Linked DNA regions of Drosophila melanogaster. The protein of the gene in region 3 interacts with the protein of the main gene of each other region in a pairwise test. Each region holds a gene or a part of one and is shown on either strand. Other genes may lie near its edges.

The links.
Region 1: the proteins of ftz-f1 (region 3) and gce interact in a two-hybrid assay, tested with the Drosophila melanogaster proteins (one study listed by BioGRID).
Region 2: the proteins of ftz-f1 (region 3) and bon interact in a two-hybrid assay, tested with the Drosophila melanogaster proteins (one study listed by BioGRID).

What each region holds. Positions count from the first base shown.
Region 1 is NC_004354.4:15,292,988-15,303,131, forward strand, and holds the start of gce (germ cell-expressed bHLH-PAS), read left to right. Parts: upstream 1-4,778; 5' UTR 4,779-4,949; intron 4,950-5,049; exon of another isoform or gene 5,050-5,230; intron 5,231-6,021; exon of another isoform or gene 6,022-6,596; intron 6,597-7,521; exon of another isoform or gene 7,522-7,635; intron 7,636-10,144. Other genes in the region: CG5877 (uncharacterized protein), read left to right, coding at 169-906, 1,350-3,566.
Region 2 is NT_033777.3:20,591,096-20,601,388, forward strand, and holds the start of bon (bonus), read left to right. Parts: upstream 1-2,043; 5' UTR 2,044-2,748; coding exon 2,749-2,949; intron 2,950-10,293. Other genes in the region: Pus1 (pseudouridine synthase 1), read right to left, coding at 1-516, 581-857, 913-1,398, 1,462-1,501.
Region 3 is NT_037436.4:18,795,435-18,805,605, forward strand, and holds the start of ftz-f1 (ftz transcription factor 1), read right to left. Parts: upstream 5,876-10,171; 5' UTR 4,674-5,875; intron 3,422-4,673; 5' UTR 3,298-3,421; coding exon 2,103-3,297; intron 1-2,102. Other genes in the region: CG14073 (uncharacterized protein), read right to left, coding at 7,348-7,563, 7,629-8,296, 8,395-8,523, 8,590-10,171. UniProt on the Drosophila melanogaster protein: Acts as a cofactor to fushi tarazu (ftz). Facilitates the binding of ftz to DNA. Binds the sequence element 5'-YCYYGGYCR-3' in the zebra element of ftz. Probably functions as a nuclear receptor for a yet unknown ligand.

The DNA.
Region 1 (10,144 bases), on a different chromosome or scaffold from region 3:
GTGAAGATTCCAACCAATTGGTTGATAACCGCGCTATTTATCGATAAGTCACCAATCGACATTAACCCACCTCTAATGTATCGCAACATAAACAAAGTTAATATTAAATAAAGGGGCCATAATTTCTCAACAATTTGTTGTTGAGTAACTAGTAATTAGCTATTTGACATGTCTCTCTTTCCCGCCTACGGCGCTGGCCGCACCTCAGCAGCCGGCAGTGCGAAACAGACGACGAAACCAGGTGAAGAGGAGCCGTCGACAGGCGGGAATTGGAAAAAAAACGAGAGTTACATCAAAAAACATGTGAATATAGCAACTCAAGGACCCGAATCGGACAGTTCCTCCAGTACGGAGGACTCCGAGGATGAGGCGGACAAGCGCAAGCAAGACGATGTTACCAAAACCAAGAATGTACACCGGGGTAAGACACTAGAATTCGATAGCAGCGATGGGTTTTATGTGGACAAGGTGGGCAACAGCTCCTATAGAAACATCAAAACCCTGAAAAAACCCGCAAGACCACGCTACAAAACCCGGATGAAACGACTGGGTGATGGAAAATACAATCCCCATGACTTCTCAAGGGCTCACTCCAAATTTTCCCTAAAACGTAGTCGCTACGTCAGAGAGAAACTGATCGCTGATGCACCCAGCGAAGATGAGGTGTCCAGGCTGCAGGAGCAGCTCATACGCACCAAAGTGCTCGTCCAGCAGGAACCCGAGGTACTGGACCACTGGCTGCAGCTGCACCGTCTGCTCAATCTCAACTTGGACAAGGCCAATCGGCTGGCGGTGGCGGAACAACAGATACACAGCCTGGAAACGGCCATGGAGCACCATCCGTCCAATCAACAGATTCTGCGGCTCTACACGCACGTGGCCAATGCCACCTATCAGGCCAACGAGGTAAGCGATGGGTTAATTTCCGCAGGAAATTCCAAATAATTTCAGTATTTATTTAATTAATTTCGATCATATTCACTGCACTGCAATGGTGACAAAACACCAAACATGATATTTGGGAAAAAACAATAGCCATATGTATGTATGGATCATAGTAACCCGGTAATATTTTGTAAATGGGATCAAATAGATTTGAAACATACTGTCAGGGCCAGAGAGTCATTACAATTCACACTTTAAAGGCGACTAGCTGATATATTTTTTTTAAATTTGTGAGAATTATACGAACTAAAATTTTTCTACCGGTTCTCACACAAAACACTTTAATTTTTGCTTATCGCGTGAAATTTTTTCAAGTACTTTTATAAAACGAATTGTATGTAGAAAAGAACATTTAACATTTAATCGACATATTTTATCAATATACACGATATTCTTTTATTCAGGTTGCTAGGCGATTCGAGAAAATGCTGAAGAGAAACCCATTCCAGTACACACTGTGGAGCAACCTAATAATGATCACCCAAGGCGACATGGCTTGTTGCAACGTGTCCGCTGTGCTCCGGATTTACGAGTACAGCATGCGCCGCATGCATGTGGGACACAACGATGAAATAACCCGAAGATTCATCATTAAGGAGACTGATGTGATAATGCTAAAACTTTTTCACAATTGCTTACTATTCCTACGCCAATCGGGCCATACTAACTGGATGTTTGCTCTGATTCGTTTGTCTATGGAGTTGAATTTCCCCTACCTGACGTTCGAATGCCTACAAGCACATGCAGGAAGAGAAAAAGCATTGATTGGATTCGAGGAAGTGGTGCTGCGTTCGGGAATGCCGATGCCCGAGATCTGGACGCGTGTGGAGCAGCTCAGACAGGCATACTGCTTCCTGCCGTTGAAAGACAAGCTGGCTTCGTCGACTAATGTCTTCAAAAACAAGATGAACGCCGAACGATACTTTTGCAGCGACAAACTTGTCCCATATGTACACGCACTCAAGTCGCAGAATAATCGTCTGCACCTGGTGCTCGTGGTTGTTCAACTAATGAAATTGCCCCTGATTCGCAGCGCTAGTTTGGCGGACAAATTGAATCCTTGCATCGAGGACTTCGGCGAGTCTGAGGCCATTGAAATGCTTTTCGCTGCCATAGTAGATAGGCACTCCTATGCAGTGGCTTCGTTGCAATATCAATTTGATGCAGCCATGATCGACTTAGCCAGAGAGATGTCCGTGACGCCCAGCTACATGCCGCATCTTGTTGGCCATAAACTGTATGCGGATACCGTGAGTAATATGCTACTCAAATGCGTCGAAGTCTTTATCGGCGAGGAGTCCAAGCGACGATTGTTGCTTATTCTGTATTTGCGATTCCAAAAACTATTAATAGTGCTGCACAAGTCCATGGGCAAGCTAACGAAAAAATTCTTTAAGGATAAACGAACACGGATGCGCAAACTGATCAATTTGACGGAGAACCGAAATGTTATTAGTTTCTACACGGAACAGGCCTTGTGCGAAATTGAGGCTAAGCATTACCGACTGGGCTTTTCCATAATTTCGAGGATCATCACAAAAAAATCGGAAGAATCCAGCTGCATTAGTTGCGTGGACACAATGCATCTCTATTTAGTTTGTGCAGAATTGCATATACATAGGGGCCGCATATCTAAGGCCATCGGCATACTCGTTTCACTGTGTTTGGAAAAACATGCCGGAGTAAAGCAGACAACTGTCTACTCCAAGGAACAGGTTTTGAAAGGCCTGAGAAATGCAGAGAAAATGGTGCGAGCGGAACTGAAATCCCTCGATACCCAGCCAGCTGAGATGTCTTTGGAGGAGTACTTCCAGCCCAACAAATTGCTCATCCTCTTGCGCGCTATCTGTTTGATCGAAGTGCTGAATAATCGTCGTCATAAGGAGGCTAGAATGTGGCTCAATGACCTGCAGAATAACGAATTTGGTCCCGAGGCCGTCAAGGACAGCGAAAGAAAGCGTTTCCTTAGGGAGCAGATCATGGAAATACAGATGCTACATCTGCGTTTGTCCTTTTTAGTATTTGGCGAAGTTGAATTCTATACTGGATTCAAAAAGATCAAGCTACATGAACTGCTCGAGAATGGACTCGAAGAGTTTCCACGAAATATGGTGTTTCTACAGCTGTGGGCCAGCTTAAAATCGATTATGTGGCACAAGCAGCGTAGCCGGCTCATACGCACCAAAGCCGGCATCGCTTCACTGGCGCACTTGGTCGTTGCGATTCACAATCGCTTTGGAATCGTAGATACCAACGATAAGTTTTCAAAGGAAGCCACAAGGAAGATGGTGTGCAATCGTTTGGTCAGCATTGTCGAGACTTTTCTCCCGACCAATTTAGATCGTTTGGATGTGGAGGAAGAGCATTATCGCATACTGCGCAGGAACTCCATCTATTGGCGCTTGTACATGATTGCCCTATCCAAAACGAATGCCTCGTTTAGGCGCAGCAAAGAAGTCCTTATAATGGCCATGGACGAGTGTCCCTGGGACAAGTCACTACTGATGGAAGGCGCCAAGGTTTTGCCAGTGAAACTAGCATCGCTACAGGACCTGATGACCGAAAAAGAGATTCGCATTTTCGCTATGCCCGAGGAAGTGGACGTCTTGAGGGGCTTTTAAGTCGCTTTGGTTTTATTCGTTTGTTTTGAGGTTATTTGCCATTCGGGCGACTCGATAAGTTCGCATCATAAATATATTTATTTCTTCAAACAATCTAGTTCTGAAGTTTGCTTCAACTTTAAGTTAACTGGCGAAATTGCGATAAGCTGTTTGCAGTTATATGCGTACATGCATATTTTACTACATATATCCTAAATCGCTTATCAGAATTGGCTCACTAACAAATTCAGAATTAGCGATTTTGCTACTCAAAAATACTCGCCGTTCGATTATGTTAAAAAAAAATTCCAACACTTTATCGCTCGTTGCTGTGCAAGGAAACCAGAGTCGCATATCGAATGTCGGAGATTAGTCCAACTTCATCTTCTGGCCAATCCGCTCCCCCCGAATCCAGCATTTTCTTGTGTTTATTATTTTGATTGTGTTTATCGCAAGATAACCGAACAAAACTCATAAGCCAAAACAGCGCCGAAAGAATCACTGCGCACCTGAGGTCGCAATTGTAGCACCTGGAAGCTGTGAGACGAACTAAATACAACATATTTGTTATGTCATTTTCATATCGCTGAAATGAAACATATATTGCAAATAGCTTATTTTTATATTACTGAAATTTAAAATATATTGCAAATAGTTTATGGTTCTGTTTATTTAAATTTATTAAATCATTTAAATATGCAAAAGAAATTAAGAAGTTTTCTACATTTGTAAATTACAAATAAAAATATTTATATTCCTATTTAGCTATGAGTAGTTTTAACAGCTAACTTGTTAAATATTGATAAATTTAGATTTAATATGTACACATTAAAGGATTTGTATTAAATGACATGAATGATATTGACGATAAAATGATTGATATTTTGTATGCGATCTGTTTGTGTGACCGCAAGTGTGGTGGCCAAGTTGCGTGAGCGCGAGCGAGACGGCTGTGGCTGAGTGTTGACTCGTCTCGAATGTTGCGTATGCGCCCTGTCTGCCCAGCCACTTAAGACTCCTGTGCGTTACTGTTGCTCTTTGGAAAAGCGTGGAAATCGGGAGAGGAAACGCTGTGATTGGGCAGAGGGGTAGTGGGGATGAAAAGCTCCGCTCGCCGAAACGCATCGAAAGCTGTCTGAGCGCGAGAGTCCTGGCTGCTGTCCATTCGCACGTCCGTCTGTTCGCCTGCTCGTCCACCCATCCGACATCTTTGGACCGGGCTTCATCGATGGCAGTCGGTCGGCATCTGTCCAAGTCCCACGACGCGTTGTCGCTCCGCATCGGCCGTTGCTGCAGTGGAAGCGGCCCGTTTGGCCAAGTGGCGTCTCCGTAGTCCCTAGTCTCATGGCGGCGGAGTCTCCTCTCAAGGTTTCCCAGGCACTCCAGACCGTTTCCAGTTCCTAGGTTAGTGCTAGAGCTCGGAATATCTGGCCAGTATCAGGCCAATCCATATATAATAATATATACATACATATATATATATATATGTATATATCGCTATAACGGCCGAGTGTTTTTTGTTCCATTTCGTTTCGATAGCGAGTGTAATTTTTTTGAGAGTGCTCCCCCGTTCTAAGTCGTGTGTGTGTGTGTGTTTCTCTTCCTGTTTGGGTGTGTGTGCTGCGATGTCTCTGTGTTGGTGTAGAGCAGAAGCAAGAAGAAGCAGCATTGTGTAAGACGCCAGCGTCAAGTTCGTAGACTAAACACCAACCTTCTTTTGCGGCTCTACTCTAGCAAAGGGGAAAAGCTTTTCAGAGAGGAAACTCAGAAAATGAGAAAACGATAGAGACAGAGAGCGCAGAGAGTCAATGTGCACTGCTAGAAAATGTGGGGAAAACCAGTTTGCGAGCATGCGATTCGTGACAGTTTGCATATTTTTTAAGCATCTTTATCTCAGATTTCCAAATCTATAACTCAAATATTACTAAATTTATTACAGATAAGTGTAATCAAAATAATTGATAGCTTATTATTATTATTATATAATGCTTCCTTGGAGATTGTTATAAACAGAGGAGATTCAAGTGATTTTTTGTGCAAAACTCTAGTTTTAGCAACGTTTTCTTTTTTCCCGGTGTACTGGGTGAGCATGAACTCGCCGAGGGTTTCCCGGCCGGAAACCTTAGTCAAGGTCTCGCCAGCTTTCCAACGCAGGTTGTTGCTGCGCTCTCGCTCACACTCGCTGCTGGTGGGCGTTTGGCCAATCGCCATCTCTGTCGCACCGCTGTCGGTGACGAGCGAAGCTTTTATTGTATATTTCATCTTTCACGCTCTTTTCCCTGCCATTTCTGCTTCTTTGGGGCAGCGGCACCTAGAGCGGGAGCGGGAGCGGAGTGGAGCGTGAGTGGAGCGTTAGCTTTCCGGGCAGCTGATTCGCGCTCGGCTCGGCTCTCCGCTGCCGTTGCCGCTGCCGCCGTCGCTGCTCCGCTCGTCGTCTGGCTGATTAGTTTAGTTTGTGATTTCAATATATGTAATTAATTTTTGTTTCTGTAGCGGTACGGACGGACGCGTCGCGACGTTCGCTTGGTCCGCTTGGTGTTCGTTCGGTTCGCTTGGAGCTTGGAGTTCGAATTCGGTTCGCCAGCCGTCGCTGTTTCGTATTTATTATTATTTTTTATTTTTTTTTTATGAGTATATTCGTATTTCGCATTTGTATCTGAATGTTTCTTTGGCTCTGCGTACGTGTGTGAGCGATTGTGCGAGTTTCCTTCTCTTTCAACTTGCCTTTTTCGTGGTCGCCGCCGCTGCTAAAATGCAAAGAACACGCTCGAGCAACGTAAATGGCGCCGCGTTAACGAATGGAATTGGATTATCAAACAGTGCCCCCCAGAGCCCCATATAAAAGTTGAAAAAAAAAATAAAATAAAAAACAAAACGAGGAATTAAAACCGAAATAAAACAGGCAACAAACAAACTTCGTTTTGACAACCCCCCCGCCTTTTTTTTTGTTTGCGTGTGTGTGTTTTGTGCCAGTGCTTGTGCTATAGTGTAAAAAAAAAAGTTTGAAACAACAAACCAAAAACGCGCTCGAGGGGAAATATTATCAAAAAGGTAGATGGCGGTGACCTTAAATCATATAGTAATTATAGGGCTATCTTCCAGTTGGACAGTTTCAACAACCAAACGTTGGTGTATGAAAAACTCCAATTATCCTATTATACGACTAGTATGTATATTCATAAGCCCAATGGGGCTTAAATACCGCTGTTGGTGTGTTGTTGAACAAGCTTGAACAAGTATTTTTTTGTGCTCTACGTTGGTGCATTGGAGTGTAGATATAGTTTCAACAACCGACCAACCACCAAGCGCAAAATTAATATTGTTGAAACGTTCGAGCTTAGCAGCTGTTGGTGAACCGTTGTTGGTGTATTGTTGAGTGCGCGGCATTAGATGCTGTTGATCAGAGTACTTTTGGTACTCTTGTGATCCTGTTTCATTTCCGTTTTTGTTCACTGATTTCGATGTTTTCTTGTGCAGAGAATTGGTTTTATATGGTGTAGCCTACGAGTACGAGCATATGTGCTGAAATCAGCGGCGCGTGCGCGCATTTTTGCGCGATCGAAACCCGAGAACGATTCAGTTTTTTGTTGAGTTGGGAAAAGTTTCGATTTACGAAAAACATTCCCACTGTCTGTGTTTGTCATCCTTCGAAAATCTGCTTAGCCAACATTAACGTGTTTGCCCATCCACAAACACATACAAATGCATACAAAAAAAAAACTATCACATTCGCATCGACACAATCAATGAGGCAAGACAAATAAAATTAACATATTAATGAATTTCCAGTTTCTTTTTTCGACTTATTTAATTTTTTAATAAGAAAAGAAAAAACAGAAAAACAAAACAAGCGTGAAGAACTCGAGTCTCTCGACTTCGGCATACCCAAAAAGCACGAAAGCGGGAAGTGTGATTATGGCCAAAATTCCAGATCTGCGCTTTAATGGGTGTGCGAAGATCAACGGATTCCAATGAATATAGATGTTATATGGCGGAGCACTTTATGATGGGTTCTTAGCCTCCCTTGAACTTGTGGGCAGCATGGAAAGAGTGCGATGGAACTGAGCTTTGGATGATAATAGCAATAAAAGTAAATATAAATAGCCCAGCATCAGGTATTTGTTGGCAACAATTTTTCAATGATTTACCAGTTCCGAGTTCCGATCAATAAAAGTGTTTTTTTTCTGTTTTTTTTTTTTTTGCTATTCGGTTTGGTTTTTTCTTTCCAATTTTTGTTTTTTGTTCGGCTGCTTTGCTGCTGCTCTCAAGGTTTTCTGTGTGCTGTTGCCGATGGTGATGATGGTTATGATGATGATGATGATGATGTTGATGATTTTTGTGTGGATGTTTTTCATTTTTATTATTTTCTCTGTTACTTTTTGGCTTTTGTTTTGTTTTATGTTTGATAATTAATTTCTACGTCGCATGCTGATGTTGGCAATTCAAGTGAATTGAAAGAGGGGGGAAACTGTTAAAAATATATAAGTGTACAAATCTCAAGGCAGTTTATAAATATTTTAAAAAATCCATAGGTACATTGGGTAGCTTTTAAATTATAGCCAAAGCATAAGTTCTCTAAAAAAAAAACCATATAATTTGGATGTCTGTTTCATTTTTAAGGACAATAAAATATGCAGTCAATTTCCCTAGCATTTTTCTTTCTTTTATATTTTTTTACGAGTTCGTATATGTAAACATATTTATTTATTTTTTTTCTAACTTGTTGTTCTTGTCGCCCTCATCAAATTTTTTGCTGACGTCGCGTCTAAGAGCGATCGCTTTGGCTGAGCGGCGAGCGTTCAGCGTTCAGCGTTGAGCGGGCCAAGCGGTATAGAGAGTCAAAAGCTCGTCGCTTAAATGTGAGCAGGGGGGCCTGGTGGGGAGAGGGGCCAGGCGGTATTTTTTGTGGAGGGGCCAAGACGCTCTAAAGCTGCGGGAAAAGGAAAGCCGAACCTGTACTGAAAGCGGACCTAAGCAGCGGCAATTGATAACCTAACCTAGACAATAAAAACGACCGCCAACCGATGGCGACCCCAAGAAATGACGTCCACTACTTGAATAACTTGGCATTTTAAGTTAAATATTTAATTTTCAATTAAATGTGTCAGATTCTCTGGGCAGTCAAGCATAATTTAAGACAGGGAAAGTTAGCCGAGAGAAATGGAATGCCAAAATGAGCGAGCTAATGGTACTACTTTTTTTTCGCCACAATTTGTATTCTAAAGTACAATCGGAAAAACTACATAGAATGGGAAAATATTTCAAAAATGCTCGCGTATATTTCGAATTTCTTTTGAATAAAACACAATGTAAGCTATCATAAATTAAGGGCAATCAAATCGAGCCGCAAAGAATGTGGACTGCCAAAACACAAGTTTATCGATAAATCGAATCTTAATTGGAGGCGAATTTAGCATGCCTGATTGGATCGCATATAGCCGAGATAGCTTGACGCCATCTTAGGCAGCTATGCTAATTAAATCGATTTGACTTAGATTAGCCACGCTTGCCGCGGTTCACATGGCGTATGTGCAATAAACGCGGCTCACCATAACGCATACGCCGTGTGGCCAGGAAAATGGTATCCCTTTTGGAACGCATAACTCTCTATCCAGCTATTTCATGCATCGTACAGCGGCCTATTTCCGCTCCCCAATAGTTTACCTTCCTCAAAGTGTCTGTAGGTCAAACTAGTTTTATTTCTGCACCAGATTAGCCTTACAAATATAATCAACTTGAAAGCTCTATATTCAATTGAGACAGCTAGCTACTGTAATTTTATTTTCCCCCCCGTTTCAACTCTTTTTATTGGCTTCGTGATTTTGTAACTGTATTAACTGATATGGTTTTCGATCATCTCTGTGCGCCAATAGCTAGTTTAGTTTCTCCTATATTACCAATGTTATGGAATGTTATGCAAAGTGCACTCGCAAATCTTTGTAGAACGTGCTTGAACGGCCACGTTCTTCCCGCCCTCTCTGGCTCTTTCTTCCCGCCCAGCTTGTTCTCCGCAATAGCTCTTTCTTCTCCGCTCGCTCTCGTTCTTTAGCTGCTCACCTGCTCCCTTTCTCCCCCTCCCCCCACCCATCGAGTGCTCAGCTATTTTTGGTTTTTGCGACAACTTTTTGCCAGCCACCACCTGATGTCGACGTCAGCTTTGGGCCAGGTCGAAACAGCAGCGTCTCGCGGCTGTATAAAGCCGCTTTTGTAATTAGCCCTGCGAGGACTTTTTCTACATATTTTCAATTGAAATTTGGCATTAAATTGCTTGAAGGACGTTGAATCTAGATGCTAGCTAAAAAACTGTGTATCAATTCAATCAATATATATTTCTTAATACCAATTGATGAGTAAAAACGCTTTAAATAGTAAGTTACCACGTCCTGGCATTAACTTTCCACAAAAATATTTATGTCTGTGGTTCCTAGGCGAATTGGCAATGGCGTTCTATATTTTGTGCAACCGCATAGCTTAGAAGAGGTGTCAAGTTTAAGGAAATATATAAAACGACACCATTTGAAGAATATTTAAAAAGTTGATAAAAACGATAAGGCAGTGGTGGAAATGTCTCAAATTCAATGCAGCTCATTCATTAGCAT
Region 2 (10,293 bases), on a different chromosome or scaffold from region 3:
TTGTCGTCATCACCACCTTTAACCTTCTTGTCTTCGGAGGAAGGTGGAGGCGCGTCCTCCGTCCGCGTGTCGTACGAGTGATAATGCAATGTTCCTATCCAGTCGAGCATGTTACGCTGCTCGGCTTCCGTCTTATAGATCTGGCTAAAGATCTCCCTCTCGATAAACTCCTGGACTTGCGCCTCCTGCGCCTGCCATGTCAGCGGATTGTGGATGCCGTCCTTGCCGTAGCGATCGTTGTAGCGCTCGTAGTGCACTGTGTCCAGCACGAGGCCCAGTCCAGGGGCCATCGGCAGGTCCAGACGCTCCTCCGTCAGTGCCCGCTCTAAAGTGGCCGCCGTCGTGTTCCCCCTTACAATGGCAATGGCTAGACCCACCATCTTGCGAATCTGGTGCAGCATAAAGCTCTGACCCTTAACCTTAAGTGTGACAAATTCGATGTCCTGGGGACTCCGGAATGGCTCGCTGCTCGTAAAGGACATGATGAAGCGCTTGGACGAAGGATCCAGAAAGCTTCTACAAGGGTAGTAAACAAAATATTAGTTGGAGCAGAAATGAAGTATAAACCTGGCTTATTTACTTCTTGCTGGTGAAGTTGTGGAAGTTCTTCGTGCCCTCGTAGAGCTTCAGGGTTTCTTTAACCTTCTGCAGCAGCTCTGGTGAAATCCGGAAGGTGTCGTGCACGTCGTCGACCTTTTCCTCAAACGGAGCAAAGGCCACGGTGGGCAGTGTGTAGGTGTAGGTCCGAGCATTGCATTGATCCTTGGCATTGAAGCCCTTAGTCACGCGTTCTACGCCAAACAGACGGATCTGTTGCGGCAGATCGGCATTGAAGGCCTCCAGGTCCAGCTCCTCAGCTGCAGGAAGGAATAGGTTTAGTATTGTCTTGTAAAATAGAATAAGTAAACTAACGCAGCTTGACGGAGCACACCTGGCGGGCGGCGGAGACGCCCTTGTCGGTCCTGGCCGCTCTTTGGAAACAGGAAATCTGAATCTGCTCAAAGCTGTCCTCTGTAATCCACTTGTGCTTTAGCATGGCTTTGAAGAGCTCCTCCTCGATGGTCTGCATGCCGGGATTGCGCTGCATACCATAGTAGTTCGCACCGCAGTAGCTAAGCAGGATGGCGCTCTTCTTGCGCTTGATCCGGTCGGCGGGATCGAACGGCGCTCGCTTCACGCCGTTGGCGGCATCCTTCTCGTCCTGCTCCTTCCAATCGACCCATTTCTTGCGTTTAAGTGTTCTCTTGATGCGGTTGGCGTCCTTCACGGCTTCGCCCTCCAGTTCTTTGGCCTCTTTCCTGGCTTCCTTCTCCACCTCCAGTTTATCTAGAGCCTCTGACATCGCTGCGGCGAAGGATTTGTGGCGATTCCAGGGATTGCAAAGGGTTTTCAGGCGAACTATTGTAAGAAAATTAATTATTATAAATTCTCGAATTGGAGGTGTGATCACTAATAATTAACCTGCCTTGGTGTAGTCGTTTAAAAGTCGTCTTAAAAACATTAAGTAAACAATTCTGGATTTAAAGTGGAGGAATTCACACACGTGTGGTTGTGCTTCTTCTTCTTGCTCTGTTACGGATCAGCTGTTTTATTTAACAGCTCTGTTTGGCTAATACAAATATGTTTTTTTCGAAAATCGCGTTCTTTGAATTAGCTCAATAATTAAGTTGAGTTTCCGAAATGCTACTTTTGATTTACTTAAGTTTTAAATTAGCTGTGTGGAGAAAAATGTTCAAAGCTTTACGTAACGTTATGACTTAACAGAACGAAGACGTTACAAGTTTATTTTAAAAATTATGTTATATTTTACTATAACCTTTTAATACCAGGCTAAGTTATTAGTTTTAAATTGTAAATAAATGGCATCTTGACCATGTATTACAACATTAATATGATTTTTTACGAAATGAACGGCGAATTCAATTGTGGTATTGCCAGATCGCGTGTTTAGTGTGACCTCAGCTGCTTACGTTTCCACGGCCGTGCGTAACAGCCCTCGAAATGCCGTCGTACTGGCAACGCCGACATGAATTAATTGAATCCAAAATGGCTGAACATTTTTTGTACAGAAGAAGCGTCCAACGAGAGCAAACGCCGTGAGACCGTGTGTTTTCGCAGCGAATTACGCCAATAAAACCGCACTAAGAGCGCGCTCGCAGCGCGAATAAAGAATAGCAGCCGCGTATGGACGAAATGCGGCACGAATCGCTGGAAAAATCGACGGCCAGACCGAAAAATAGCAGCGAAATTCGAGCGAACGTCGTGTATAAGTAAAACGAAAGTTGTGTCGCTCTGTGCGAAAGAGAGAGGGAGAACCCAATATTTTTGCAAGCCAGAAGTCGAAGGTGAAATTAAAATGCATTAGCCACCCAATTGAAGAGGAGTCAACTACGAACAAAACTTTAAGAATCAGCGAAAAATCGTTTGTGAACATCCATACAAGCACAAATCGTTGTTTTTGCCTGCTCTCGTGTAGTTCCTGTGTATTGGTGCGCGCGCCCTGTGTGTGTTTGTGCGTGTGCGTGCGTGTAAGCATTGGAATGGATTAACTACCCAACTAATTCCAAAACAATAATACCGCAACATAATCGCAATAGTCATGCCGTTTCAAGGCGACAGCCTTTAGGGAAACATTCGGTCGGTCGGTCAGTCAACCAAAAATCAGTTGCTATAATTAGCACGCCCACGTTTTAATTTCAACGATCGCCAGCAACCGCCTACGCGGTTAAATCGCAGGACTTCGCCAACATGGATATGGATTTGGAGCAGCTAAAGAACGACTTCCTGCCGCTTATCGCCGGGATCAAGCAGGAGCAGCTGGATGCCGTGCCCACGGATGCCCTGCCCCAGATGAGCACACCAAACACGGCCAGCGGTGCGCCCACAACCTCGTCATTGAGCTCCTCTTCGCTGAGTCTGAGCAACCCCTGCGACAGTGCCGAGAAAAGGGTATGTTGCTAGTCCGTATCACGCGTTCGTTACCTATAAGCTAACGCCAAGTTGAGGTTAGCTAAAGCCGCCTAATCACACGTGCTCTTGCGGCTGATAACAAACAGCCGGCTCAATACACATATTCCCCTGCTCTGCGCAGTCTGCTCAGTGTAAACTTTTGTTTTGGTTGGATTTTGATGCGCTCGTGCTGCGTCCTCCTTATCAAGCGTTTCGAATCGAGTCTCGTGCAAAAAGCGTTTGTTATCTTTTTCCCAGGCCAAGGCAAACAAAGCAGCGTATTCACACAACCAAACAAACAGCGCGCAATGGCAAGTGTTGTTGTGTTTCACTTTCACGGCCCAGTCCGAGATCTTACAGTGAGAAAAACGGCGTGCACTTTGCTCTATTTTACAGTATATGTGTATATATAGTTTTCTATTATTTTAAAATTAATATGACTATGCAGTTTTAATCTTGGATATACCAGTTAAGATGTAAGAAATGTGATGTTATCGAACGTTGAATCAACTTTAAAATTAGTTCTAATATACAAATTTTTAAGTTGTTATATGAAAAAATGAAAAATAATATACCAACTTAATGCAAGAATTTAATTAAATTAAAAAAGGTACAAATTAAACATTAATTATTAGCTTACTGATTGAGAATTTTTTTTTTTACTGTGTAGTGAGTTAGGGTCTCGTGCCGATGGTTCTCGATTCCCCTATGAGTGCGAGCAAAACAAGCTGTTTCTAGACAGTCGCTACCTCGCTTTCACTTACGTGGAAGGGCTAAGTCAAGATGGTCTCCCTCTCTTGCAATTGCAGATCAGCTGCAACATGCAGCTGCCACTCTCCAGATGAGCGGCAATAGAGTGTGTGTGGTTGTGTGTGTGCTCTCTACTGTGTTTTGTTTGCTCTCCGTCGTGCTTGAGCTGCTCTTTAAGCTACAGTGGAACCCAAGTAGATCATCCTAGTGGAAAGCTTGAACATAATTGTCCTGAAAAATAAAAAAATACTATAATATTTTAACTACTTCAATCTAAAGAATTATTGAATTGCTTTTACACCTTTTTGTTTATTTTCATTGTATTAGTTACTTACTGTACAGCCAGATAACTTGCCTTAACTGAACTTCCAATATAATTTTGGGACATACAGAATATAACTACCTTATTTTCAACGTAAATTGGGCAATTTGAAAGTTTCATTTAACACTAACATTATGAATTAAAATCAACGGCTTGTGATTACAATAAAACAAAATTAATGTTTTTCACAAATGATAACCGCTTTAGATGACACTAATTGGTCACGATATTTTATTATGTGTGCTAAATAAAACAAACACGTTTTCATGTATGTAATTAAAAATTCGAGCTCTAACTTTCTATGCGGCATGTGATACTTCTAGTTACGGAAGCCTGACTGTATGAAAGACTCAAACTTCTCCTGCAACCGTGCAAATAAATGTTCGCCTAGAGTGGGCCTTTTGGAGTGGCCACTCTCTCTTGAACCCCAACCAGGGATTGGGAATGACATGCACTCATTCAATCCGTCCCTCAATCATGCAAACGGTTGTGTTTGCTGTGGTCGTTGGGGGCACTTAAGACCCCCAGACTCCATGCCCAGTCCCCCCCCCCCCCCCGCCTGAATCCCCTCCAGATCACTTAATGCCCATTTCTGATGCGGGCAAACTATCAAGTGGAAAGTACTTCGCCGAGGCAAGGTGTGGAGTTCAGAATGGATGATGATGGGGATTTCAAAGGAATAGCTTTTAGATTATTAATCCTGTTAAAGATTTTCATACATGCATGTACATAACTACAAAACAATCTGACTTAAGAAACTGCCAAGCACGGAATAGTTAAATAATTAATATGAAAAGAATTATCAAAGAATTATTTATGATCCAGTAAGAATTATGCGATCCTTTAGATTTCCTTTAGATTTGAATGCTAATTCTTCTCTTGACGGCATTTTTTTCCTTTTCATCGAGTAAATTATTCTAATTTATGCATGACTTCACAAAACTAACTGTACCTACTCATGAATACATGGAATACATGATGTCGTTAAGTAACTTTTATGGGCGAAAAACATAATAAGAATTTCTCAATAAAGAGAGAAGACTTAAAATTCACGGATAATTTTTTCCTATATATAGTAAACAATGATACCTCTGCTCATATTAAACTCAAATGATTATTAATTTGTTTTTAATTAAAATTAGCTTGAAAGGTTTTATACATTCATAAACACAAGGTCTGCTTTTGTGGAGACTTTCTTTTTTACCTTTATACTTCCGATTCGGTAAAACACTCAAAATCACTGAAGCTTAACTGAAAAGAGAAACCTATTCATTTGTAGCTCCTGTCAAAATGGCGGGTTTCGGCATTAAAAGTGACAGCTGATGGGGAGGTTGCCGCTGGCGGGCATCCATATGTCATCTCAAAAACACTGCACCTAAATGCATTTTCCTACCCTCCATGAGGCCATATTTAATACTCCCATAAATACGTATGTACGAACGCTTGTCGTACATACATATTCATGAAGTCATGTCTTTGTGTGTTACCCCATGCATGCGACAGGTTGTAATTAAATTGCTTGACATCGGAATAAATGAAAACCCAAAATCGTACGACGCCATTTTGTGTTAGATACCGACGAGACCCGAAACGAATTCTTAGAATCCGCCTTTAATGATGTACAATTAACTTTAATTTGATGAGAATATGCAAGCAAAGCAAAACGAGGAGAAGGCAAAGTGCCGATGGCCAGACGCCGGTGCTAGGAAACCCCAGCCCCCAAAAATAAAAGTCGTTAAATGCACAAAAAAGTAAAGTTTCTAATTAACTTGATTACCCTGAAATAAGGGCGGGTAGATCTTGGAAAATGACTCTCTTTTCACTTTACTCGAACTACCTGGCATTAATGCAGACATCGGGATTTTAAAATGCTGGGATTTTATGGCATCTATAGTCAACCATCCCCTTTGTGATCCGATTGAACGAATTTAGGATTAGAAATAATACTCTATACTCTAAACTAGGTAATTGTGTCAAAGCCAATATGTGCATTAAAGATTTTCTGATTTAGTACGCTCAATGTCAAAATAGATATTCAACATATTTTTGAAGTGAACAAGAGAGGTCGCTCTAGTCTATTCTCGTTACTAGTGTTTTATTTTCGAGTTCGGAAAAAAAATTTTAAAAAAGATTATATGTATATTTGTTTTACTGTCTACTGTTCTTTGTACCTGTTATAAACTTTTAATCTTATATTAATAGCTTTTTGTTATTTTTAGGAGAAAAACCATCTTGGTTGATGTACATTTTATAAACTCTCTCAGTTCCGAACTTATTGTTAATAACGTTTAATTGGAACAAACCATGAAAACATGTTTTTTTCTAAAATGTTAACAGCTTTATAACTTGAAAGGTGGTTCCATTTAGGGACGTTCTCCTGTTTATCCAGGATATACACATTTTAATTGCTTTTCCGGGCAGTCGGTGGGCGTAAGGCCGCCCTAATCCATCCATCGACGTCCAGTGCGTAATTAAAGTTGACTGCGACTGCGGGATCAGTGCGGATGGATGGAATCGGATTGGAACTGAAAAAGGGAATGGGAGTGGTGTAGTTGTAGGTGTAGATGTGGAAGTGGTGCTCGTTGGCAACATGTGTACGCTGGTCGCACTCCTGTGCGGGGATTAGGTGCTACACAGGACATAATCCGATCACAAAAAGCGGATTATAACGCACAGCAACAAAAATGGTGCAGTCGGGCGGCCGTGGCAAAGGGAAACCGAACTGACGCCACTTTAAAAGTAGAGCGTTTCTGTCAGTGGAGGGGAAATGCAGAGGGCAAAGTTTTATAAGCTGCATAAGTCCTGAGAAGCGAGTCTGTCTGATTTCCTACCATCCTACGGCAACAGACAGCAGATGTAAGCAGATTTCTGAGCTGCGTCAGCTTGTTCAGCTGCCGCCTTGGCATGCCCCCAGATACGCCTACGCCCAAGTCCCGGTACCATCCATATCGGTTATAATATTGCTATTCCTGCAACTGGCGTCACGATTTTCGGGCCCCCTGCTGACTGGGAAGTCTTACCGGTTTGTGTATCTACATCAGCGGGGAGTCGCCATTTTGGAAAACACTCGTACTCTCGTAGTTCGTGCACACTCCATCCAATCCATATATATGTACATATTATGGTGTATACGTGTCTGCTGATGCCATGCCCTCCGGGAGCAGGAACAATTGCAACGGGCACAAAAAGAACCGCAAACCGCATCAGCAGCAGCAACAGAAACAGCGGCTGTGACGGCTTTGGTAAGCTCCAGAGACCGAGGGCCACCGGCTCGTCGGACCAACGTAACCACAACGCCCTGCCCAGGCCACCGCCAATGCAACCCGACGCAAACCTCGACCGTCGTCTGCAGCAGCAGCAGCATCGCTGGGGTCCAAAATCCGGGGACCAGCCGACAGCTCAGTCCGTTCATTAGTTTGCGGTTTCCTGGTTTCGTTTCGGTTGGCTCCACGTCTTTTGGTCTCTTGGTCCCCCACCAAAAGATTTTCAATACTGAATTTATGCTCGCAACATGATTGGGAGTAGTAATTATTATACCTTCCGTTCTGTAACTAGTCAAGTTTTCCCAACCCAAACATTGAGTTTGAGCACGAAATAGTAAAACTTGCCTAAGAGAATATCAAAACTGGTTTTCGTTCGGGACCAGAAAATAAAATGGCGATTTCTAAGTAGTAATACGGCGAAACTAATTAAGATAAGACTATCATAGTGGTTTGGGTTAGCCAATGCCAACCGTAGTCGGAACCAAATAGCAACTAATAATGTTATCATCCGGCTTTCTCCCGCTTCGCTCGTCTCTCCTTAAATTTTGTTTATGTTTAATCTGCTTCTTGCTTTTAAAGTAAACATTTCATTCAGCAAACAGCTGTGTAAATATGCTACAAATTGCCAATTTTCCATACAGCTCATTAGATGATAAACAGATTATGATTAACTGATAGCCTTGAATTAGTATTGTAGAGCATTGAACCGCTCCGCTATTAAGTTTCCTTTGATCAGGGAGGTTCGGTAACTATCTTCACCAAGGATCTAATCGATCAACCCATTTAACAAACGACCCTTGCCTGCCATTACAATCTCAATGAATCACTTTATTACTGCTCGTTGGATGTGTCATTCTCGGTTAGAAGTTCCACTTATCACTTATTCCATTACGAATACCCGAAGTCCCAACGAAAGGGTCTGTCAGATGATGACAGTTCGGTGAAATAGCAATTTTATTTACGTCAACCAAGTGAACTTCCTTCGGTTAGGACCTGTAGTTTGCCAGTTGCGACAGCTTTTAATGGGTTCCATCGATTTTCTCATAAAATAAACCAAAACTTTTCTGTTCGTGCCATTTACGATTTCCATACAATTAAATCTTTACGACTGAAGCGATGTGGCTTGAGACATTCGAGCAAAGAAACCAAACCGAAGGATACAGAAGTATAATATTTAATGAGTTCCGTCATAAACAGCCCCTTTTATGGGAAGACGTTAAAATACAGATAGCTTTTCAAATTTTCCAAAAAAATATTTTCGAAATATATATTCTGAAAATACTTGAGGTATTTCACTTGAAAATTTTGGATATATGGTGTATGAATATATAAGTATATAAAAGGAAATCCCGAGTGCCATCAGCCTTTTTCTCATTTGCCTTGTGTGTGGGTATGTGCGTAAATGCGTAATCATGGTTTTTATGAAACCATTTCTGTAGAAATTTATATTTATGTACAGTACACATACTTTTTTGGTGGCTTAAATTGCGTTATGAAATGTAATGTCGGGTCATTAGGGTTTGTCCATTAGGTGGGTTTCGGGTGGTTCAACACCCAGTTCGTGTTCCTCCAACTCCTGGGCGGAAATTGCAGCAACGTTGGCCGGATATGCCCGCGATTAAAGCGAATGGCCAATGGTCCAAAATGGCGAAGCTTCTCTCGCTTCCTCAGCCCTTTTCCATTGGTAGGAGATACGAATCGGATTTGAAGTGCTCCTAACGATTTGAAATTCGTATTTGGATTGGAATGCTTTTAATGCGTGTGCGACGCTTCTCGCTGCGTCTGAATACTTACAATTTTATTTATTTATTTATGTTGAACTCGCGGATTGGGTTTGTTTATATGGACATCTGGCGGTGGCCTCGCCATTAATATTTATCAGCTGCTGCACCTTTCCCGGCTTTGCAGCTCTGTTGCCTTCCTCCATGGCGTCGCATAAATCGCAGCAACTTTGGCCCGACACGCCCCTCGAACGCCCCGATTTTCTCTGAACTCGCTTGGCTCACAAGTTCCAGGTACAATCAAGTTTTTCGCTTTTATTATGGGGAGTATAATATATTTTATACGGCTCTATCTGCCGCCGTCTTCTCGCTCCCTTTCCACCTTTTCTACCAATTTATGGCGGCCATTTTGGAGAGGTGGTGTCTTTGAAATTTTAGTTTATTGCAAAGTCTCATAAATATTTCAAGAGCAAGTTTTTTCGTCTTCATCTCGTTCCCGCTCGATTTATAAACCTGGCCAATTTATATTAGTCTGCGAGGAAGCAGGGCATTTTATGAGGGGTTGAAAGAGAAATGTATCATGAGGTTCATGGACTTTGATGTGCCAGTCTGTCACCTGAGTCCCACTGCTCAGTGATGAAAAAGTTCTTTTGAGTGCTTTATGTATGTTCCATAAACACGATTGTTCATTGACTTGGCGGTGAGGCATTTATAGACCCAGTCAATTACGGCGAATTCATTTTATTCGATTACCAGTTGACCCTGGATCCATTATTATCGGTATCATATTTGGATTCCCTAGTGCATTGTTCAAGCGCTTAGGAATCTGGAATCTGGAATTTATGCACCCGCCCCTACATATCTGGGAAGCATTTCCAATTTCATTACTTTGATCAGACTTAATGAACCGGCGACCATGGAGCATATCGAATGGATCCGCCTTGCCCAAAACGAGTAACTGCGGCGAATGAACCTTGAATGGAAAGCGTAGCAAACTACAGGCAATTATTTTCCATTTGCGTAAATTATACATTTAAATTAGGTGTTGGCATATTTCCTTTAAAGGTACTTGTTGTTTTAGCACTCTTAGTCACGTATTACGGACAGTCTGAATGATGCATTGAAGATTAGCCATTGTCGAAAATGGGCGCCCAACAGAAATCCAGAACGTAATTAATTTTCTGCTTTTGTTGTATCAAAGGATTTTCCCTTCCGTCCGAGAGTTCAAAGTACACATATGCCCGTGCCATCTGATGCCTGCCGTTTTGTGTTGTAAATTTGCAAAATA
Region 3 (10,171 bases):
AATACCCACTAAGTTTCAGATATTTTCTATTAATTAATTTATTAAGAGTCTAAAGAAAATGGCCATCGTGGCAACTAAAAATTCTATTCAAAAAGATAGAGTACAATCTTATTGTGCAACTAATTCATCATCTATCGCTAGCTTAAGATATATTTGTGATCGATTTTATAAGAGAACTTTCAAGTACTTAAATGGTTTCTGGTTTCTATAAATTAGCGTTAAAATTATCGTTTGAGTTATAAAAATAATCCTAGATTGTTTTCTTGAACATAACTACTTAACCAGATGATTTTAAACATTAAAAATCATTTCAATTTGCATCTTTACTGTTGTTCATATAATTCGTATATTTCACAGATTTCTCTCACTGTAGAAAGTGTGCAATGGAGAGCGAAAGAGAGGGTGCGAGCGCACGCGACTGCCTGCGCCGACTGCGACGCCGGCTGCGCTGCGGCTGATGCACACGGTGACCTTCAAATTTCTATGCAATTTCGCTTTTTGTTATTGTCTCGCATCCTTGAGCCCAATCTCCAATATTAGAAAACGCAAGCGAGCGCAAAAGCGATTCGTTTGCGCTTGACCCAAATTCTAATGCCCCGGCGACCTTGCTCCATTTTGCCTCTCTTTCTAAGGATGAGACGCATGGAGCTGGAGAATTTAAGCTGCACTTGGGGGGTTTCCCGCCGCAAGGTCGCCACGGCCAAGCGGGCGAATTGAGTGTGCCTGTGGTAAGGAAAGGGGTGCAAGCACTCGATGCACGATGACATTGCCGAATGTCAATAAAGTTAATTTGAAAATTGAAAAGCCATATCATGCCACCAAGTGTCGTGTAAAACAAACACAAAATCAAACAATCTTACATACATATTATGTATTGTATGTGTGTCTGTAATATTTGATCATTCATCATCGACGGCATTTGGCAGGGGTCTGTCACAGTTTGCCCATTTAATTGCTATTCACGCATCGAACGAATTTTTCTACATTTGCATTTTACAGATACTCTTTGGAAGAACAAGGGATATCTGGTATATTTAATATATAGAACTATATTCATTCACACTAAAAGTAAATAGCTCAAATCTAACTGCTGAAACTTTTTCAGCTGCATTAGAAGGTAACCAACCATATGTTATCAACTACAATGGTTATAAACAAATAATTATTCATATTCAAACTTCAATTCGCTTTTAATTAGACATTGCAATTAAGCAAAGCAGTTTTAATGAAGAGCATTTCGATTTCGGCTTTTCCAAAAACATCGCCCGAAAGTAGGTTAGTTGCATTTTTATAGACATTTCAAATGGATTTTTATGGCTGCATCCGACGCCATGCCGCACAACAAACATGGAGCTAAGTGCGAGGCCAACTGTGGACTGGTGGAGGGAATTCAAGGAGGGGGGGGGGGGGAGAGGTGGGTTGTACCGCCCGTGCATATTTAAACTTTGCATTGCACTTGGCACACTAAGATTTAAGACGACCGTCTCCGTCTGGCCGAGCCAGTGGAAAACCAACCGCCAGTAATGACAGGTTAGTGAAAACATCAAGGTCTGATTCAATTTAAATTGAATGTGTAAAATGTAATAAATGTCAGTTGAAATGCGTGTGAATATAATCGCATTTTAATTGGCCGGATTGGTAGTAGCAAGTGCTCTAAAATTGCTGAGCAACCAAAAAAAAATATTTGGTAATGAAATGTAAAATTTATTATTCATAGTACATAATCTTTGTAATGCTGTTGTTTCGTTTTATCATTATTATTACATATTATTTATAAAGTTTCATTATTTTGTATATTGCATATTAAATATTGATTTATTAATGAATTTATCAATTTTTTTTTTCATAACTTTCATTATTGCTTGCTTTTGATTTATTGATTATTTGAGCATTTGTTTGATAATACACGCGGTTTTTGTTTAATTGTGTCATTAGTTTGTATTTTTCTTATTAGTCGTTATGTATTTGTATTATTTCGCACTTGCCGCTTCGTTATCACTTCACTTGCAGCAACAACAGAATGTTTGCCAAACAATTTGCCTTTCGAATTAGGATGGTTTTGGGGAGGTAAATAAATCATTTGATACAAAAGATGAACTTACCTCCGTTATCGTCGATTTCCAGACCGAACTCATCCTCGGACATGGACTCATCGTCGCTGCTGAGATTGGAGCCACTGTGGTTGCCGCTTTGCATGTGATGCTGCTGCTGCTGCTGCTGCTGCGGAGTGGTGCTGGCACTGCTAGTGTGGTTGCTGTTGGGAGACGCTGCTCTCGGGGCACAGGAACTGGCGGCCAGCTCCTCAATACTGTGCAATGAGCTCCTCGTCGGATTGGCAGTGTTGCTCATGGATGTTGTCGTTGTGGGCGTTGCAGTGCCTATTGTGCGTGCAATCGATCCTGATCCCGATCCCGATCCCGATCCTGAACCCGATGCCGATCCAGAGCCCGGCCCTGTGGTCGTAGTGGTGCTAATGTGGCCATCATCCTTGCCCACCTGCACCTCAAAGTCCAACAATTGGGCCGTTGTGGAGGACAGGAAGTTGCTGGTGGAAACGGAAGTCGACGAATTGACTTCAAGTGGTTTCAATTGATGATATTCGACGGGCGGCACAATTATGCTACTGTTGTTGCCATTTGGATTTTGGGGATTCTTTTGCAACAGGGCGGGATCAATGCACTCGTTGGCGCTGCGATGGGTGGGAAATAGAATATTGGCAAACGATGGCATCGTCACAGATTCGATGATCACCGAATTGCCGTTCGATGGCCTCACTGTCTTAGCCTCCACGTTGTTGTTATTGTTATTGTTAGTGTTGTTATTATTGTTGTTGTTGGTAGTGGTAGTTGTTGCAGCTGTGGCAGTGCCCATTAGTGTCATGTTGCTATTGCTGTGGGGATTTGGACTGGCCACAAAGAAACGATCGCACAAGCCGCTCAAGGAGATGCCTCCATCCAGTTGACTGGCATCGATCGTTTGCAATGAACTGAAGTTATCGGCATTTGCCGATGTTGTTGCCGCCTCAACTGCTGCTGCTGCTGCTGCAGGTCCTATTGTTGCAGTTGCATCCTTCTGTTGCAACTGCAAGTGTGAATAGAATGGCAGCATGGGCGAACTGCCCGCCGCCAGCATTTGATCCTTGTGATGATGGGGCATTAGGAGTTGCTGCTGCTGCTGCTGCTGATGTGAATGTTGCTGCTGATGCTGATGTTGCAGGTGGTGATGATTGCTGGTAGCTTCTGTTGCATAGTTGGTGTTGCTGCTCTCCGCCAGCATAGGTACATTGAAGGTATCCATTTTATGAATAATATAATTTAACTTTTATTTTTTGTACGTTTCGTTGTGATGTGTGGTATTTGTTTTGTTGATTCTTAATGGCAGGTAACGATAGTAGTTGTAAGTTTATAATTGCTTTAAAGACCTGAAAATGGTAATAAAGCAGATTATTAGTAATCAAAAAAAAATTCTAAGCGTTTTTAAAGCCGTCTAAACCAAAAATCAATCCGTTCTAGTAATAAATATTAATTTTCAGGAAGTAGGACAAGGATTTCAAAGGCCTAGGTTAATGCAAGGTCAGGTTGAAGGTCAGGTCGCAGAGAATGTGGGCCAAGGAAAGGCCTAATGGTATTTGAAGCAGGCCAAGGTCAACTCTTTGTGGGGAGAGAAAGCTTTCAAAGCTTTTTCTGTACCACTTCAATGTCCACCCAATTTATTATGTTATATTTCAGTTTTTTTATAATTCTACTATTTAATTATTGTTTAGGGTTTTTAACTAAATCGTCGAAAGTCCACAATATATACCTCCGTAGAGCTTAGGAGTGCCTAAACTATTTTTATCAGTATCAATGCAATTTCACCAATAAACCGATGTTTAAAAATTAAATTTCAAAATAGACGTCGAGAATCTTTAATTTAAAAATTGAAAAATAAAGTTTTTTTAAAAATGCAATTGTTTTACAAGATTACAAAAATTAATAAAAAAAAAAAAAGTTAATGCATTAAAAGCATCTTTAACCAAATTATTTTTTCCGAGTAGATAAAATCCATTTAAAAATTAACACGCTAAATTGTTTATTCCCCCATTTACAGTAATTTTCCAGTTCGCGAAACAGACAACTGGAAAGATTCCCCCATTTTTTTAAGCCCTGTGTTACCCTTTTTAACGATACTTTAATTAACTTCACTCGACTTCAAGTTCTTCACTTTTCGTGCTTGAATCTCACCAACCCTCGGGTAATCCACGGAAAAAAATTGAGCAAATGACATTAACTTTATATTTAATATTTTAAAAGAAAAATATCTTAGTGGAAAATACGAGAAAATGTATAAAAAAAAACTATAAAAAGCTATAAACTGCTGATACAATTTTCAGTTTATTATCCAAATTTTTAAAACCACATTAATTTTTGTAAAAAATATATATATAATGATCCCAGTAAAATTTATTTAAACAAACAAAAAGGTGATTTTATTTAAAAAGTTTTCTTATAATGATGGTTTTTAAATCAAATTCGTGTCAAAACTGTATTTCATTCCGTGCTCCTACTTCCCATTAAAGATGGTAAGTGCAGTAAAATAAAGCTCACCCAACTAGACAAAATGGAAAAGGAGGTTTTTGGGGGGTAAAAGGTGAGCGAGAGGAAGTCGTGCAGCGGGGAGAATTGAGAATTTACCTTTCATGCAGCTGACGTCGTTGTTTTTCCTTTTGTAGTTCTGTGTGTTGCGCATGCGCCCGGTTCCATGAATTCCAAGACGAAGATCGCGGAAGAAGAAGAAGCGCTGGAAGCTGTCCGTCTCTCTCTTTCTCCGTCTCTTCCCCTCTCGCTTTTTATGTATACAAAAACCAGTTGGAAGCGAAAGCAAAAGTTCTATTATTATGTCTTGGTCTTCTTGCTGTTTCTGTTTTTGTAGCCGTAGCTGGTCTCCCTCTCTCTCGCTGTCTCTGTCTCGCTCTCAGTGTGGGAATTCGCATGTGTGGAGAACGGAACGCGAATTTATAATTCGCAAAACAAAGCTTGTGTGTGATTCATTTCGCCGATCGTAGTCGCTGTTGCCGTTGTTGTTGTTGTTGCTATTTCTCCCGATCGCATCTCTCGGCGTCTCGTTCTCTTTTGCTCTCGCTCTCCGAAAGCTCTTTCAGCATATTTCAGAACACGCACACACACGCGACGCCAAACGCATTTGGCAATTTATTTATATTTTTTTTTATTTATTTCTTTTATTTATTTTGCATTTATTGCCATTTACTCTTCCTCTATTCTCGGCGATTTCCTCTTCCCGATTTCGAACGCACACCAAGAACTTCTTGCACAATCGTCGCACGCGCGCAACAAGCGAAAGCTCTCAGAAACAACAACTATAAATTGCAATTCCTGCTACGCACACACTGACACGCTCGCACCGCACATACATATATACACACATGTACTGGGGTTCCACTGGGCACTCTGTGTTGTTGTTTTTCCGCTTGGCTTTTGCTAATTTTGCCTTGTTTTTGCTTCTGCTCCAATTCTATGACACAACGCTATCTTCCCACTTTGTGTTAATTTTTATACACAATTGCACACCAAAATTGGGGTTTGGTAAACGGATAGGCAATGACGGGGGCGCGGGCGACGATTGGAAACCAGAACACACTCCCGTTATGGACGCATCGGAAATATTAAATATATACGTATGTACACACACATAATTAACGCCAGAGCTGTTCTTCTTTTCGCTTTTGTTTACTTTCACTCTTACTTTCTTGGCTATCGCTCACTTTCAGCTATTGTTTATTCGCTGGCTTCACTTTTTCGGGAAAAACTATTCCGCACGCAAAAATTAGGTCTCGAGCGAAATTAGGTCGAACTCGAACGGGAACACAACACACAGTAAAAGTTTGTTGGCGTAGGTAGAAGAAGACCGAAAGCCCTCGCGCATACACGCACACACACATGCGCGGTCGGGATAGTGTTGGATCACCGGAGCGAAGAGCGGGGCCAAGGACAGAGAGGCAGCATTCTTGGCCTTTAAAAATCGTTTGAAGAACAAGGACGGCAATCATATGAAAACCGGAAAGCTTTCAGCTGAAAGCACTCACATGCACGCACACCCGCGTTTAGCGCACCGCTCGTGCGGCGAGCTTTTGAGAGCGACATCTGCCGGAACCTATCGCCAAGTTATCGATAGATCGTAAATTCAAAACTGTGGCGGTTTGTCAATGAAATATTACATAAATTTTAATAAGCAATAAAAAATACAATGAGATTATCTAGTTCAAATAATTGCAAATTTAAAAGGAAAAGAAGAAGACGAATTTAAATATTCACAAGATATAATTATACTTTTTCAAAAGAATGGGCCCTCTAAGTATATTTAAGTACTTATCTAAGACCTTACCTGTTCAGTCATCTATTATTATATATAAATAACCTTTTAAACCAATTTTGAAGAATCGTTTAATAAAAGCTTGGATCGATATTTGTTTTCAAATGCCAGGAGATTGTTAAAATTTTGAAGTGAAACCGCACTTTTAAATTGTCAAAATTTCACTTTGCATTTATTTTGTTTTTCATTATTAGTTTTTTTTTTTTTGTTAAATTTCTTCAGTTTTTTGTGGTTTCCTTTTATAGTTGCACAAAACTTACACACGTACATTACATAGAAAATTACAAACCTATCTGAAAATTGATTTACATTGTAGTTGGATCATATTGTGTATACATATACTTTATATATTATGTTAATAATTTCATTTAAAAATACATAATACATAAATACGCCTTTGTTGCTTCTTTAATATTATTACAATAATTATTATTTAGTTTATACTTTAGCTAGATTGTTTTGTTTTTTTAAAAACCATAGATTACACTTCATCCCTAGATTTATCTGTAAGTATATATCAATTTATTAGCTGATTGGCTGGCATACATTTTCCGTTCGTTTCCTCGTTTCTAACTGCCTTGCATTGTTTTCTTCTACTTTTATTGCATAATTGCAGCCAATCCCTAAAGATTCCAGATTTTCTCAATATTCTCGCTCTAAAATTTCCATTCATTTCCTTTTTCTTCGTTTTGAGTGTGTATAGCACCTTTGTATCACTTTGCATTAGCTCTAAATTTAATTTCCTTTATAAAATCCTTTATCTTCCAAAGACAAAGACGTGTGAGTAAAAACTAGTTACTAGCTAAAATATACATATGTATAGTATATAAATCTACTATTATATTCGTACTAATAGTTTTTCCATATTTGTTTGCACTTTACACTCTATGTTCAGTTAGTACTATGCTCATCCATTCATCATTATCTAATTTATATCTTTCTGGATCTTGCCCCGTCCAATCGCTAAAGATATCTCGGTTAAAATTTCATTAAAATGGTCTTAACGCCCAACAAGTTCCGTACACTGTCGTTGTATTTGATGAGCACAACCTTCGACGAACTGAACATGTTCAGCTTTTCACCGGCGCACAACAGCTGCAGGCAGGTGGCTTTCTCCAGGAAATCATCTATCTTGAACTCCCGTAGCAGGTGCTTCTGACTGCTGGCCAAGGCATTGCTGTTGTTCGGACAGAGCTAAAAAAAAAATAACAAGATTTTGTTATAAGTTCATTTAAATATCGCATCTAAATGGCACATACCTTGTTAAGCAACGTATCCTTCGATTTAACTTTAAGTAAATTGCACAAATCATTGAGTAGTACCCATTTATCACTGCCCTCGTCTTTGAGCAAGTACAGTGGTGGCAAGGGCACATCGGCCTCTTCAAATTCAAAAATATCACCATTCAATTCACTATCCATTGTCTCGATGTCCGTCTGATCCTCGTCTAGCCTAGTGCTACTATTCGTATTTGCTTTCGCATTCGTTTCCGTTTCCGCTTCTGTTTCAGCTTCAGCTTCCACTTCCTTCTTCACTTCATTCTTGACATTCACAACGCTTGTTACTAAATTATTTTCCACATTAGCATTCAGCTCCTCGTTGTTCTTATTGTTATTGCTATCCTCGTCGGTTCCCAGTTCCAATTTAACCATCGTTGTTGCCGTCGTCGTAGTCGCCGATCCAGTCTTTGTTGCACTCGTCTCCCCGTTCTGCTTGATCGTTGTTGTCACCCGATCCTGGTCCAAATCCTCGGGCTTCTGCTCCTCCTTTTTTTCCGCTAACAGACCATTCAAGTTGCTGGTCCTGTCACTGTTGCTGCTCATCCTCTGCTGCTTGGCCTCCTTCCTTTCTTTACGTAGAGCTCTGCTCATATCACAAGCTGTATTCGGTACATTACTGAATATATCATAACCATACTCCTTAGCATCTGGAAGAGATTAATGCATGGTTTAGTTCAAATTCATTCATATTTTAGTTTTATCCTTAATTGTATGCAATGGCAAAGAACTATTTGCTTCCACTCACCAAATATCTCCCAAGGCCCATTGAATCGCATTGGCTTGATGTCAGCGGCGGCACTTTGTGCATCGCTGAGATGAGCGCGCAGAATGCCTCGCATCAACTTGCTTGAAGCTAACATTAGCGGGGTTTGACCTAAAAACAAAAGGGTACAATTGTTACAATCCCTTCGAAATGCAAAGTTAAACATCCAACACCAACCTGAGTACGTTGCCAGCAACGGATCGGCTCCATAGGAGAGCAACAGTCGCACCACCTCCTCGTGATCGTTTTCGATGGCTCCGTGCAATGGCCTAATTCCAGATTGAGCCGCCTCCGAATGATTCGCGCCGTATTGAAGTAGAATCCTGGCAATCTCCAGCCATCCCTGGGTGCACGCCTCGTGGAGTGGAGTGTAGCCGGCGTTATCCTTTTGGTCAGGATTCATATTCATACGATCCAAGCAGTAGACCACCACATCGATTAGGCCCTGGCGAGCAGCCTTGTGCATGGTACTCTGACCAACTCCTTTGTTGAGCACCCACTTTTGGATCTCACGACAGACATCCATTTCCGTTTTCACCTTTGGAGGCAAATGGGAACTGCCAGCGATGGTGCTATCCGTATCCTCCAAGCGCTCATCCGCCGCACTCTGATTGTGTTCCAAAATGTGTTGTGTTATCTGACTGGAGACTTGGCTCTGACTCTGATTTTGCGTGTGGTTCTGCGTCTGAGTCGGAGCTGGTCTCTTCTTCTTTCGTATATAGTCAAATCCCGAGCTGCCTTTCCTACAACGATACTTCCTCTTGTGCGGACACTGCGGAGCCGTGACCGACTTGTCCTCCATGAGAGATCTCCTGGCCAATTTGCTATCATTCGCGCTGGCAATGCTGTTCATTTGCTGCAGGAACTCCTCGTACTTCTGGTAACTAATGGCATCTCCTCCATCTGCCTCCTGGACGCATTCTGGCGGAGCCGACGCCGGACGTTCCGGGCCGACGAAAATTTCACGGATGATCTCCCTGTGCTTTTGCAACTTGGTTTCTGTACGGGTTTTGCTCTGCAGCACTTTGGTGTCGAAAATGCTAAAGTGCCGCTTGCTCATATCGTCTAGGGATTGGTTTTCAGTTGGGTTATCCTGCTGGGATTGCTCGTACAGTGAAGTAGAAGCGGAAGTTTGCGAGGTTTCACTGTGGATCTGAAGATTGGTGGAAGCTGGAGCAGAGACTGAGATCTTCCTTTGAGTGCCAGCCGTACTGCCATTGGTTACCCTCAAGTGGAGAACATCGATTATGGACTTCGGCGTGAAATCCTGCTTGCTGGCAGCTTTGGTCTTCGGTCTGTTTCTCTTGAAACAGGCCAGCTCCTGGCTGAGATCACGGCGCTCCAAGTCCGGTAGCGAGGAAGCCACTTTGTTAAGCTTATTAATCGAGATCAGGCTGTGTGGGATTTTTAAAGCCAACTTATAGCGATATTCCTCCAGGTACAGTTGCTGCTGAGGGGATGTCTTGGGTTTACCGGGACTATTTCCCACCTTGCTGCCCTTCAGCTTGGAGTTTCTACCATTCAGCGCTCCTAAATCAGAGTTCATGCCACGTTTGTTCCTCAAACGCGTGACCATCATCTCCTTCTTGCTGTCCACCACCTTACGGACATACTTTCTCTTAATTTTGGTGGTGGAGTTCCTGATGATCTTGTCATTGCGGAGAACCTTACTATTGGCCAACTGAAGTTCGAGCTCCTTGCGATGCTTTGAGCGAGTCATGGTGTTCAGCTTGTGGGCAATGCGTTTTTTGAGCGTGTT